3 separate regions of the Mus musculus genome follow, and regions 1 and 3 are each reported to be linked to region 2. The links are microRNA targets in miRTarBase. Many come from high-throughput screens and were not tested one by one. Region 2 holds a microRNA gene; each other region holds the end of a gene's coding sequence.
The links. The annotated mature microRNA mmu-miR-1187 reads UAUGUGUGUGUGUAUGUGUGUAA and lies in region 2 at 1,582-1,604, opposite strand. An mRNA with a match to its seed (bases 2 to 7 or 8) in the 3' UTR can be bound and repressed. Matches are read on the target gene's strand: a 7mer-m8 pairs with bases 2 to 8, a 7mer-A1 pairs with bases 2 to 7 and ends in A, and an 8mer does both.

Region 1 (4,359 bases), not on the chromosome of region 2:
TATATAGCCATATATATGACTTAAGCACCTTATGTTCCTGCCTCATGATTAGCATCTGCCACCAAGGTTGCATGTGGTATTGAACACAGAACCTAGGGCAGCTTTCATGTTAGGCAAGCACCCTACAAACTGGCATACAACACCAGACCCTTGATTTTGACTTTTTTTTTTAAATACAGTTTTCACATCGTATGTTAGGCTGACCTGAAGCCTACAGTGCACCCCAGGCTGACTTCGAACTCTCAGCCACTCTCCTATTTCAGTCTTATAAGTATTGGAATTTATGGACAAAAGCGTCAGAGGTTTGGGTTTTTACTAGGATAACAATCCTAGATTAGTCCCTGGAGGAAACAAATGAGTGAACTCTCTCCATGTCTTCTCAGAGTGTGGAAGGGGAGCACCATGAGAAAGCTGTGGAACTTCTCAAGGCTGCTAAGGACAGTGTGAAGCTGGTGGTCAGATACACCCCAAAAGTCCTGGAAGAGATGGAGGCTCGTTTCGAGAAGCTGCGGACAGCTCGGCGTCGACAGCAGCAGCAGTTGCTCATTCAGCAGCAGCAACAGCAGCAGCAACAACAACCACAACAAAACCACATGTCATAGGTGAGACTCACCCTCCTCCTCCCCGTGTACACGCTCCTGACATCCTAACGGTCGCCCTAGTCAGCCAACATAAAATTGCCAAGCATAGTAAACACCCAAGGACAATTAACCGAAAGAAAGATGATGATATTCGAAAAAGTAAACAGGTTGTCCTGTTTCCATGAGTCATTCAGCTACAGTCTCCGCATATGGAAGATAATTTTGGAAAATATAATGCTATGGGAGAGGTACCTGCTAACTCCAGGATGCCTGTTTATAAACTATGATAATGCTATTTTTTTTTTGCCAGATCTATACATGAATGGCAAGGTGATTCTAGTCCCCACTCATCCCCTTAGCTAGTCGTCACTTTCACGGAGTATACAAACTGCGCTACTCTATGGTGCTATTCCTGGCTACTTTAGATTAGAAAGATGCAGTGGATTAAGAAGTTGTTGCACATGAAGAGTGCGATGGCAAAGCAAACAGTTAACACAGCGTGAGACACTGAAGGGTTGGAATTCTATCTGACTCTCCTACCTTCTCCCAAATCCCACTGCACAACACAGTGACATACATATCCAGTTTTGTGGATATTTTCAAGAAAACTGAAGAAAAATGTGTTAATATCAAAAGTCCCCCCCCCCCCGAAGTGCCTACTATGTGTCAGTGACACCCTCATCACATAACGCTTCATCCTCTGAAGAACGTTTCAAGAAATTTACCATTAAAGACACATCTCTGGGATGAGCAGTCTAAAGCTTCCTTCAGCCACCATTGACATGTGGCTTGGAATCAGGGTTCTCCTCCTGCCACTCTCAGATCCTCTGAAGTCATTTTTATATGTTTGCCAAACTATTCATTGGAAAAGATCAATTCGATCAGAATGCATTTGTGTACCAGGATGTCTTTAAGTGTGTCTTGGGAAGGACATTCACACGTTCTTGGGAAAGTGGCAACAGATGTTGGGTGGTTTTCAGTTTTCCTTACTGAAAACTTACTGTTTGCTTAGCAGAAATAGTGATCATGACATGAGACATGCTTCTTTTTTAATGACACTTGTGGAAAAAGAAAAGCTATATAGTGCGTGTTTTTGGTTGTTGGTCTTTCTTTTGTTTTTATGTATATTTGGGGACTGGAGAGATGGCTCAGTAGGTAAGAGCACTTAATGCTTTTCCAGTGGACCTGGGTTTGGTTCCCAAAACTCACACCAGAGAGCTCACAACCACCTGTAATTCTAACTCCAGGAGTTATGATGCCCTCTTCTGGCTTTTGTTGGTACATCACACACATAGTACACATGAGCATTAGACACATGTAGATGTACACACACTCACACAACACACACAATACATAGGAAGATAGATAGGTAAGAGAGAGAGAGAGAGAGAGAGAGAGAGAGAGAGAGAGAGAGAGAATGAGAAAATACATATACATACATATATTTTTTTTAATTATATTCCGTCCCCAAAAGTATATTAACCCAACATCAGATGTCTTTGTCCTTTGGCAGAGCTGCATCCAGGTACTGTCCAGGAGCTCCAGGGGTAACCTTCTCTTCATGAGGCTACATTCTGCTAGGAGGGGATAATTAATAAATAAGCAAGAAAATAAGCCAACGGCCTTTTGAGAGCAGGACTTTAAAAAATTAAAACAAGGCTGTTTGAATGGAGACTACCTTAGACACAGTTGTCGGTGAACACCCCTCTCAAAGGACATAGCATCTGAGAGGAAGCCGAGTAGGAGAAGCACCCAAAGAAATAATAAGAGAAAATAGCCAGTATGGTAGCATATGAGCTCTTTGATATTTGAACAACTAACAGATAGCCTAGAGAGCTGAGAATAATGAGTAATAATGATAGTGGTGGATTATGAAGTCAAAAGGACAAGTAGGGACTGGGTACAGAAAGCCTAGCAACACTAAGAGAAATTAATGTTTTTGTAATGGAGGACAAGATTTTTAAGCCAAAGGGTGGCATGATTTGATTTATGTGCCATTAAGATAATTTGGCTTCCTGTTTTTGTGACCCTTGTCTTCCTACTGGATTCCATGTCCAGTTTCAACACAAGTGGTAGTTTGGGGGAGGGGGATCATTGCCTAATCTTACTGCAGCTTAATTTGCCATGTTTAGTTGATATCCCTGGGAGGCCTGTCATTTTCTGAGGGGGAAAAGGAGAAAGAACAGATTGGGAAAAGAGATGGGGGTGATAGAGGAGGTGGGAGGACAGATGAAGGGAGGGGGACTGTGGTCAGGACATAATATATGAGAGAATAAATTAAATTAAAAGAATAATTTGGCTTCTGTGACAATGGAGAATTACAGGGTCATAAATGAAATAGAGAGAGATGGAATGGCTTAGAATAGAATGATGAGGTTGGGACAGACACCATTAATAGATACCATTAATAGGCAAGTCATTTAGCCTAAAGCCTTCTCCTTAGTTACCTATTCTGTACCACAAGCATCCTAACAAAAGTCCTCTGGATAATAGGGGAAATCTCTGATGTATCCCTAATATTCTTTCTGCTAGTACTATTGTTTATTCCATCCCTGGTAATGCAAGCTATTCATCCCTCTTCTCCAGAATTATTTATGACATTAGCCCTGAGTAAATGTGCTCAGGGGTAGTTTGAAAGCAACAGGTTGATCTCTTAGACCTCACTGAAAACTGCCATGTTTTACTCCTCCCATTATCTTTGGAAATACACAATTTGGTCATATGTAGCCTTTTGTATTTCTATTCCCTGTTCAGTCTTCATTAAGTCACCTCAGGATTTCCTATGGCCCATTACCAAGACTTACATATTTAATCAGAAAAAAAACCTGTCCTATCTTGTTGTGTACGTAGGATGTGGTAGAGTTATGTTCGCTTGAACATGACCTTTGTATCTATGCCCATCAAGAGAGCTACTGTACAGCACAGTGCCTACCCCCTTGAGATTAAATGGTAATGATCATGTGAAGAACAATCAAGACTTACCAAAGGCATGTCACCCATGGATTTTATGGTGAATTCAGTCAAAAGGACCTACATTAGCTCTTGCTTAATTTTTTATTAACTTGATCTTTAGAGGGTCAAAAAAGACTTACAACACTTAATAATTTATACTAGTTGGTTTTTTATATTTTTTTCAGGCTTACCAAATCTATTCAACTGGAAACAAATCTTGAATTTTTTTTGGTCTACATTCAAAGACCACATAATCAAAATACTTGTCAGAAGACCATCTCACTATGTATCAAATGAAATAGAACATGTAATGCTTTCAAAATAAGAAGTAGTATGTGCTGAGAATATAGATATTATGAAGTCACTACAAGCGGGAAGCAGATAAAAAAGAAAACCATATTGAATGTAAGCCATACAGGAGAGAATTGTCTTTTTATACCTTCTTGAGTTTTAAATTCTGCTGAACTAAAATCTGTTTTTCATTCTCACTTCTGTGTTTGTTAAGTGAGAAGACTAGATTGCATTTCCAAAAATGCAAAAACAGGAATATTCTGCCATTACATTAAAGAAATCCAAACAGAAAATATGATTATAGGGCTGGCCATCACATAGCATGCTTTTTGAGAAAGTGCTATGTTTATTTGGTTTATATGGATTTGTTTAGTTTTAAGACATGACTTCATGTATGCATTTGGATTTTCACTCTGATTTTCAAGGATTAAAAAAAAAAAGAGGAACACTAACACTTTTCAGACATTAATTTTCCAAAAAAACATCCTGAGACCAACGCCTGATCCTGCCCTCCACTGTGGGGCAAGGAGAGGAT
Region 2 (4,359 bases):
TAGAGGCTGTGAATGGGCAGAAGAGAGAGGAAGGCATGGCTTGAGTGGAAATTAAGTGAGGGGTCACTAGAGAGACTATGGGTGAGAAAGAGAGGAAGATGGAGAGGGAAGGCTGTGATCCATGGAGCTGGACCATGAGCAAGTGGCCAGGAGAAGTGCATAAATAAAATACCACGTTTCTGTGTCATTTATATGGGCTAGCTAGAATAAATTTTTCATTAACATAGACATATGGAAAACTTCAACAAATGTGTGATGAATGAGCAAAACAAAATTTTTAAGGACAGAATTCACTGATGAAAATCGTCAACATCACGAGGACTGAAAATGTTAAAGTTTAATTGCTCAGTGAAGGAATATTTGAGAGTTGACTCTGATTTTGAAAGCCCTGCTATGAATAAACACTGTTAAGGTTCTTAGGTTGGAGTCAGCACTATCCTAACTCCTGTACAGTCTGAGTTCTCAGAGACCTCTGTAAGAATCAAATAATAATCTTGAAAGAAAGCAAGACAATTGCTTATGCAACATGCTTTGTCCTGGAACAAAAGCCAGGTTCATAGTCAGGCTCATACTCCTCTTGATTTTTATTCTAACAGAGATGATGGCTGTGTTGCTTCCCCATTGGCAGAGGTATCATTTCAGTCTTTCATGATTGATATATTTAAAAGAATAGAAGTAAAACAAAAAGGAGGGGGGCAGGAGAGATGGATGCTTGGTTAAGAACACTGACTGCTTTTCTAGAGGTCCTGAGTTCAATTCCCAGCAACCACATGATGGCTCAAAACCATCTGTAATGGAATCTCTTCTGGTGTGTCTGAAGAGAGCAGAAGTATACACACATAGATAAAATATACAAATTAATCTTAAAAAAAAAGAAGTGAAAAAAATAAGTTGGAAAGCTGGAAGGGGTCAACAGCCTAATCATTTAAGGTCTAATATTAAGCAGGGATCTTATGCAAATAAAGTTTTAACTCAGTGGTGAATTTAGCATTTGTATTGATGGGGAGATGAAAATATTTTAATTCCTTATCAATCTTTTATAGTATCTGAGAAAAAAATGCTAAAATGTGAACTTAATGTTTTTGTACCTCAACTAAAGTGAAGCCAGTATTTTGGTCATAAAAATTAACTTTAAAATAAACCATTATCAAGAAGTGTTGATCTGTGTTGAGGAAATGCTGTAACATAAATTTAAACACAGGCTTGATTAGAAAAAATAATTATTAGGGAAAAAGATTGCACCAATGTCTGAATGTTGACTTCTCGGGAATCAGCTTAATTTTTTTGTAAGAGCCTTATGCTACCATACTGACAACTGAAGGATATCTCAAAGTTTTGCTAATAGAGATTTAAGTGAAATCATAGGGTGATTGCCAGGAATTAAGTACAATTAGAGCTTGCAAAATAAAAGTAAAAAGTAGCCCAGAATAGTTAAGGGAGTTCGGATGTTCTCTTGGTAAATAATCTTACACTCTTCTTTGTGAGATCACCAGAAAATATCAGGAAATGAAAAGTATCACAGTGGAAGGCTACATATGCTCAGATCTTAAGCATGGCTCATTACTATTTTAACATTGTTATTTACACACATACACACACACATATATATATATATGTGTGTGTGTGTGTGTGTAAAAATAAATTGTGTCTATAAGGAAAACAGTTCGGTTTAATACTATATGACAGATACTACACACAAAAGAAAAAAAAAGAAAGAAAGAAAGAAAGAAAGAGGCAGAGAGAGACAGAGAGAGACAGAGAGAGAAATGAAGACCTAGAAATGGACCCACACACCTATGGTCACTTGAACTTCACAAGAGCACTAAAACCATCCAGTGGAAAAAAGACAGCATTTTCAACAAATGGTGCTGGCATAACTGGCAGGTAGCATGTAAAAGAATGCGAATTGATCCATTCTTATCTCCTTGTACAAACCTCAAGTGTAAGTGGATCAAGGAACTCCACCTAACACTGAAACACATAGAGGAGAAAGTGGGGATAAACTTCAAAGATATGGGCACAGGGGGAAAGTTCCTGAACAGAACAGCAATGGCTTGTGCTGTAAGATCGAGAATCAACAAATGGGACCTCATAAAATTGTAAAGCTTCTGTAAGGCAAAAGACACTGCCAATAAGACAAAAAGGCCACCAACAGATTGCGAAAGGATCTTTACCAATCCTAAGTCAGATAGGGGGCTAATATCCAATATATATAAAGAACTGAAGAAAAAGGGCTCCAGAATATCAAATAACCCTATTAAAAATGGGGTACAGAGCTAAACCAAAGAATTCTCAACTAAGGAATACCAAATGGCTGAGAAGCACCTGAAAAAATGTTCAGCATTCTTAAACATCAGGGGAATGCAAATCAAAACATCCCTGAGATGTTACCTCATATCAGTCAGAATGGCTAAGATCAAAAATTCAGGTGACAGCAGATGGTGAGAATGTTGAGAAAGAGGAACACTCCTCCATTGTTTGTGTGATTGCAAGCTGGTACAACCACTCTGGAAATCAGTCTGGTGGTTCCTCAGAAAATTGGACATAGTACTACCAGAAGATCCAGCAATACCTTTCCTGGGCATATACCCAGAAGATGTTCCAACTTGTAATAAGGACACATGGTACACTATGTTCATAGCAGCCTTATTTATAATAGCCAGAAGCTGGAAAGAACCCAGATATCCCTCAACAAAGGAATGGATACAGAAAATGTGGTACATTTACACAATAGAGTACTACTCAGCAATTAAAAACAAAGAATTTATGAAATTCTTAGGCTAATGTATATATCTGGAGGATATCATCCTGAGTGAAGTAACCCAATCTCAAAAGGACACACATGATATGCACTCACTGTTAAGTGGATATTAACTGAGAAACTTAAGACTACCTAAGATAAAATTGGCAAAACACTTGAAACTCAAGGAGAAGGAAGACCAAAGTGTGGATACTTCATTCCTTCTTAGAAGGGGGGAAAATACTCATGGAGGGAGTTACAGAGACAAAGATCAGATCAGAGCCTGAAAACAGGACCATCCAGAGACTGCCCCACCTGGGGATCCATTCCATATACAACCACCAAACCTAGACACTATTGCATATGCCAGCAAGATTTAGCTGACAGGACCCTGATATAGCTATCACTTGCGAGGCTATGCCAGTGCCTGGCAAATACAAAAGTGGATGCTCACAGTCATCTATTGGATGGAACACAGGGGCCTCAATGAAAGAACTAGAGAAAGTACCCAAGGAGCTGAAGAGGCCTGCATCCCTATAGGATAAAAACAATATGAACTAACCAGTACCCCTGAGAGTATATCTGTAGTTGCATATGTAGCAGAGGATGGCCTAGTAGGCCATCAATGGTAGGAGAGGCCCTTGGTCTTGCAAAGATTATATACCCCAGGACAGGAGGAGAGAGAGAGAGAGAGAGAGGTGGGGAGAGGGGGAGAGAGAGAGAGAGAGAGAGAGAGAGAGAGAGAGAGAGAGAGAGAGAGAGAGAGAGAGAGAGAGAGGTGGGGAGAGGGAGAGAGAGAGAGAGAGAGAGAGAGAGAGAGAGAGGTGGGGAGAGGGAGAGAGAGAGAGAGAGAGAGAGAGAGAGAGAGAGAGAGAGAGAGAGAGAGAATATTGACAGTACCTAGTCAAGTTTGACCAAGTATGACTAAGTTTGTATTTTGACTGTCAGCTGGCAAGATAATCCAATTAGATTCCGAAGTTAGGATCTCCTTACCATTATCATATCACAGTAATTTCCCTAGACTTGTTCTTCTTCTTAAGTTAACCTGGGATTCTTTTCTTTATCCAAGCTCCATGTCCTAACTAGTTTTATCTTAGTGGTACAGTATTACTGGAACTCCCCAGCTGTCCATGATAACTGAACTGAGTTTTCTTTGTCCATTTCCAGCTCTTAATAACTACTCGTTTGGAGCTGAGACAAAAGGATGGAACAACTAGAGACTGCCATATCCAGGGATCCATCCCATAATTAGCCTCCAAACGATGACACCATTGCATACACTAGCAAGTGTTTGCTGAAATGACCCTGATATAGTTGTCTCTTGTGAGACTAGGCCGGGGCCTAGCAAACACAGAAGTGGATGCTCACAGTCAGCTATTGGATGGATCACAGGGTCCCCAATGGAGGAGCTAGAGAAAGTATCCAAGGAGCTAAAGAGATCTGCAACCCTATAGGTGGAACAACAATATGAACTAACCAGTAACCCGTAGTTGTTGACTCTAGCTGCATATGTATCAAAAGATGGCCTAGACGGCCATCACTGAAAAGAGAGGCCCTTTGGACACACAAACTTTATATGCCCCAGTACAGGGGAACGCCAGGGCCAAAAAATGGGAACG
Region 3 (4,000 bases), not on the chromosome of region 2:
CCAAACCTATTTAATCCACCACAAAAACCTAGCCATGAATACATATATGTTATAATGCATAACTTTCAAAGTAGTGGGGTAGGGTGGAAGGAATAGGAAGAAGAAAAAGAGGTAATTTTCCCAAATGGAAAGAAAAATATTTTAGTAGACAAAATAATTGCCTTAAATGTCTCAGTTGGGACATGTGAAGAGTGAATGGGTCTTGGTTTAATTCTATCATTACATCATAATGAAAATACTTGTGCAAGTATCCTTCCATACATTTGTAACCATAGCCATTGGGAGGCCAGACTGGGCTCTAGAGTGATTGTAGAACTACCTTAGAAATCAACTCCTCATCTCAAAATAACAAAGCAAACAAAATAAGATGAATAAATCTATTTTAATAGTTTTTCTGATATAAAGAGAACAGGCTTATTTTTAACAATGAAAATATATATGCTAAAAGTTACCAATATATGTACTCCCAATATTTCCATCCAAAGAACAATGGAGGGAAAAGTTACTTTCAACCCATTACCATCCTTTTAGCATGTAAAGTTCTCCAAGTTCTCCCACCTACACATATAGTTCAAAGACAGTTGTTCTTTGATAATTACATCAGAATAGAATTTTTAAAATGCACAATTCAAGCCGGGCATGGTGGCGCACGCCTTTAATCCCAGCACTTGGGAGGCAGAGGCAGGTGAATTTCTGAGTTCAAGGCCAGCCTGGTCTACAGAGTGAGTTCCAGGACAGCCAGGGATACACAGAAAAACCCTGTCTCAAAAAACCAAAAAAAAATTAAAAATTAAAAAAAATGCACAATTCATAATGTCCATAAAACTGTTGTGCATGATATGGCAGCACTTTTGTAGCAATACAAAGAGTTGAAAATACTGTCATTACAAATGCTTCCTGTCTCTCTCATGTTGACAAAGATATGAGTCCAGTTCCATTAAATAATTGAGTCAATATCATAAATGTAAGACATATCACCCATCTGGTTAATTAAACATGGAAAGTATAAATGTGAAAGTAAGAATATAAAAATATAAGAATAAGAATAAGAATAATAATAAGAATATGAAGAAAGGCACATTCAAACACAATTGGAGAAAATGTAAACTGACAGCTTGACTGATCTATTAATAATAAAAATGCGAAGATATGGGCACAGGGGAACAGCAATGGCTTGTGCTGTAAGATCGAGAATTGACAAATGGGACCTAATGAAACTCCAAAGTTTCTGCAAGGCAAAAGACACCGTCAATAAGACAAAAAGACCACCAACAGATTGGGAAAGGATCTTTACCTATCCTAAATCAGATAGGGGACTAATATCCAACATATATAAAGAACTCAAGAAGGTGGACTTCAGAAAATCAAATAACCCCATTAATAAATGGGGCTCAGAACTGAACAAAGAATTCTCACCTGAGGAATACTGAATGGCAGAGAAGCACCTGAAAAAATGTTCAACATCCTTAATCATCAGGGAAATGCAAATCAAAACAACCCTGAGATTCCACCTCACACCAGTCAGAATGGCTAAGATCAAAAATTCAGGTGACAGCAGATGCTGGCGAGGATGTGGAGAAAGAGGAACACTCCTCCATTGTTGGTGGGATTGCAGGCTTGTACAACCACTCTGGAAATCAGTCTGGCGGTTCCTCAGAAAATTGGACATAGTACTACCAGAGGATCCAGCAATACCTCTCCTGGGCATATATCCAGAAGATGCCCCAACTGGTAAGAAGGACACATGCTCCACTATGTGCATAGCAGCCTTATTTATAATAGCCAGAAGCTGAAAAGAACCCAGATGCCCCTCAACAGAGGAATGGATACAGAAAATGTGGTAAATCTACACAATGGAGTACTACTCAGCTATTAAAAAGAATGAATTTATGAAATTCCTAGCCAAATGGATGGACCTGGAGGGCATCATCCTGAGTGAGGTAACATATTCACAAAGGAACTCACACAATATGTACTCACTGATAAGTGGATATTAGCCCAAAACCTAGGATACCCAAGATATAAGATACAATTTCCTAAACACATGAAACTCAAGAAAAATTAAGACTGAAGTGTGGACACTATGCCCCTCCTTAGAAGTGGGAACAAAACAACCTTGGAAGGAGTTACAAAGACAAAGTTTGGAGCTGAGATGAAAGGATGGACCATGTAGAGACTGCCATATCCAGGGATCCACCCCATAATCAGCATCCAAACGCTGACACCATTGCATACACTAGCAAGATTTTATCGAAAGGACCCAGATGTAGCTGTCTCTTGTGAGACTATGCCGGGGCCTAGCAAACGCAGAAGTGGATGCTCACAGTCAGCTAATGGATGGATCACAGGGCTCCCAATGGAGGAGCTAGAGAAAGTACCCAAGGAGCTAAAGGGATCTGCAACCCTATAGGTGGAACAACATTATGAACTAACGAGTACCCGGAGCTCTTGACTCTAGCTGCATATGTATCAAAAGATGGCCTAGTTGGCCATCACTGGAAAGAGAGGCCCATTGGACACGCAAACTTTATATGCCCCAGTACAGGGGAACGCCAGGGCCAAAAAGGGGGAGTGGGTGGGTAGGGGAGTGGGGATGGGTGGGTATGGGGGACTTTTGGTATAGCATTGGAAATGTAAATGAGCTAAATACCTAATAAAAATGGGAAAAAAATAATAATAAAAATGCATTCCAACTGACAGGACCATTACACTCAAAGAAATTATCTCACAGGTGCACTCAAATAATGCAGAGATTCACCACAACAAATATTCTACATGGTTTTGTTTAATACCACACACAACACAAAATCCAAGGGCCATGATTAATTAAATTACAATGTAATCATACAGGAGAATTCTATGTAGCCATTAAAAAGAATGAGGTAGATTTACTTATGCTGATATAAAAATATCTCCAATGCTCACTTTATAAGCTTTTATAAATCCAAAACTCCAGTGTGTTTTTTACAAGGAGATGTCCTGAAAAGCAAATGTGTGCATATATACACATTTGTAAATAAACATGTAATTGGACACACATACCATAGTCATGTATACATAGGAATTTTTTTGTAAGAACTCACATGAAATTCTTTAGTGATGATTGTTCCTCCTGCAGTTATTTCTTGAGGAAACTCAGTTTTCATCATACTTTATTGCACAACTTGATATTTCACCATAACCATGTGCTTTCTTTGTAATAATTAAATCAGTTCTTCCTAAAATTAACAGGTAGCAGCAGAGATTCCAAACTTCCAATGATAGAATTTAAATGCAATTTCATTAGAACATTTGTGCTTTTTAATAGCTTTGGAAGAGCTAATTTCCAAGTAGTCCTTCCATTGTCGAATTTTAAAGAAAGCAAAGCAGTAATTATGATGTCTCTTGACTTCTTTTTTCTTGGTTCTAGATTCCAATGGCCGACAAAGTAAGGCAGTCTGTGCCATTGACTTCGCCTTGTGATACTGGAAATGCCTCCACCTTAGTCACAGTATCATAGAGTGGATTGCTCTTCTCTGTATAGCTAGCATAAGGCTGCATTTCATCCTTGAAGAAAGCTCAAAGTTAAAATCCATTCAAAAGAGCTAGACATCATTACCAAAATTACCCAAGTTTCTACCACATTTAGCATCTACTAATAATGTTTAAAACTGTTTATCTGCCTCAGAAGATCAAGGCTTTGTTCTAATAATCTATCACAAACATTTGATGGTTATTTATATTTTGTGTGAAATGGTTGTTGGGTGAATATAGACATGTAGAGGAATGAGGTGATATAAGAAGTATTTCAAAAGAATGAGTCAAAGAAAATAAGAAGCTGGTCATAGGAGACTAAGGAGCAGGCTGCTTTAAGCTTAGATAAGAGAAATATTATAGTGGTGTTTAAATGGGGAAGTGGAGAATTAGACACTGTTTCATGGAGAAGGAAACATCTACTGGATTTCTCCAGAGATTACAATCCAAATTTGGCAAAGTTGTTAAGATACAGTTTATCAGATGA

Region 1: miRTarBase lists Lin7a as a target of mmu-miR-1187. The part of its 3' UTR that is shown has no 7-base or 8-base seed match.
Region 3: the mRNA of Cd200r1 is a reported target of mmu-miR-1187. Seed matches in the 3' UTR shown: 7mer-m8 at 2,991-2,997.

What each region holds. Positions count from the first base shown.
Region 1 is chr10:107,411,570-107,415,928 of GRCm38, forward strand. Lin7a (lin-7 homolog A (C. elegans)) reads left to right here. Exons shown (of 6, transcript NM_001039354.1): 5 at 384-602. The coding sequence ends at 602. Among named protein-coding and RNA genes, the nearest start is that of Myf5, 72 kb to the right of the region's middle.
Region 2 is chr5:82,797,383-82,801,741 of GRCm38, forward strand. Mir1187 (microRNA 1187) reads right to left here and starts at 1,683; the gene lies at 1,562-1,683.
Region 3 is chr16:44,793,746-44,797,745 of GRCm38, reverse strand. Cd200r1 (CD200 receptor 1) reads right to left here. Exons shown (of 7, transcript NM_021325.3): 7 at 2,769-3,546. The coding sequence ends at 3,406. Among named protein-coding and RNA genes, the nearest start is that of Cd200r4, 25 kb to the left of the region's middle.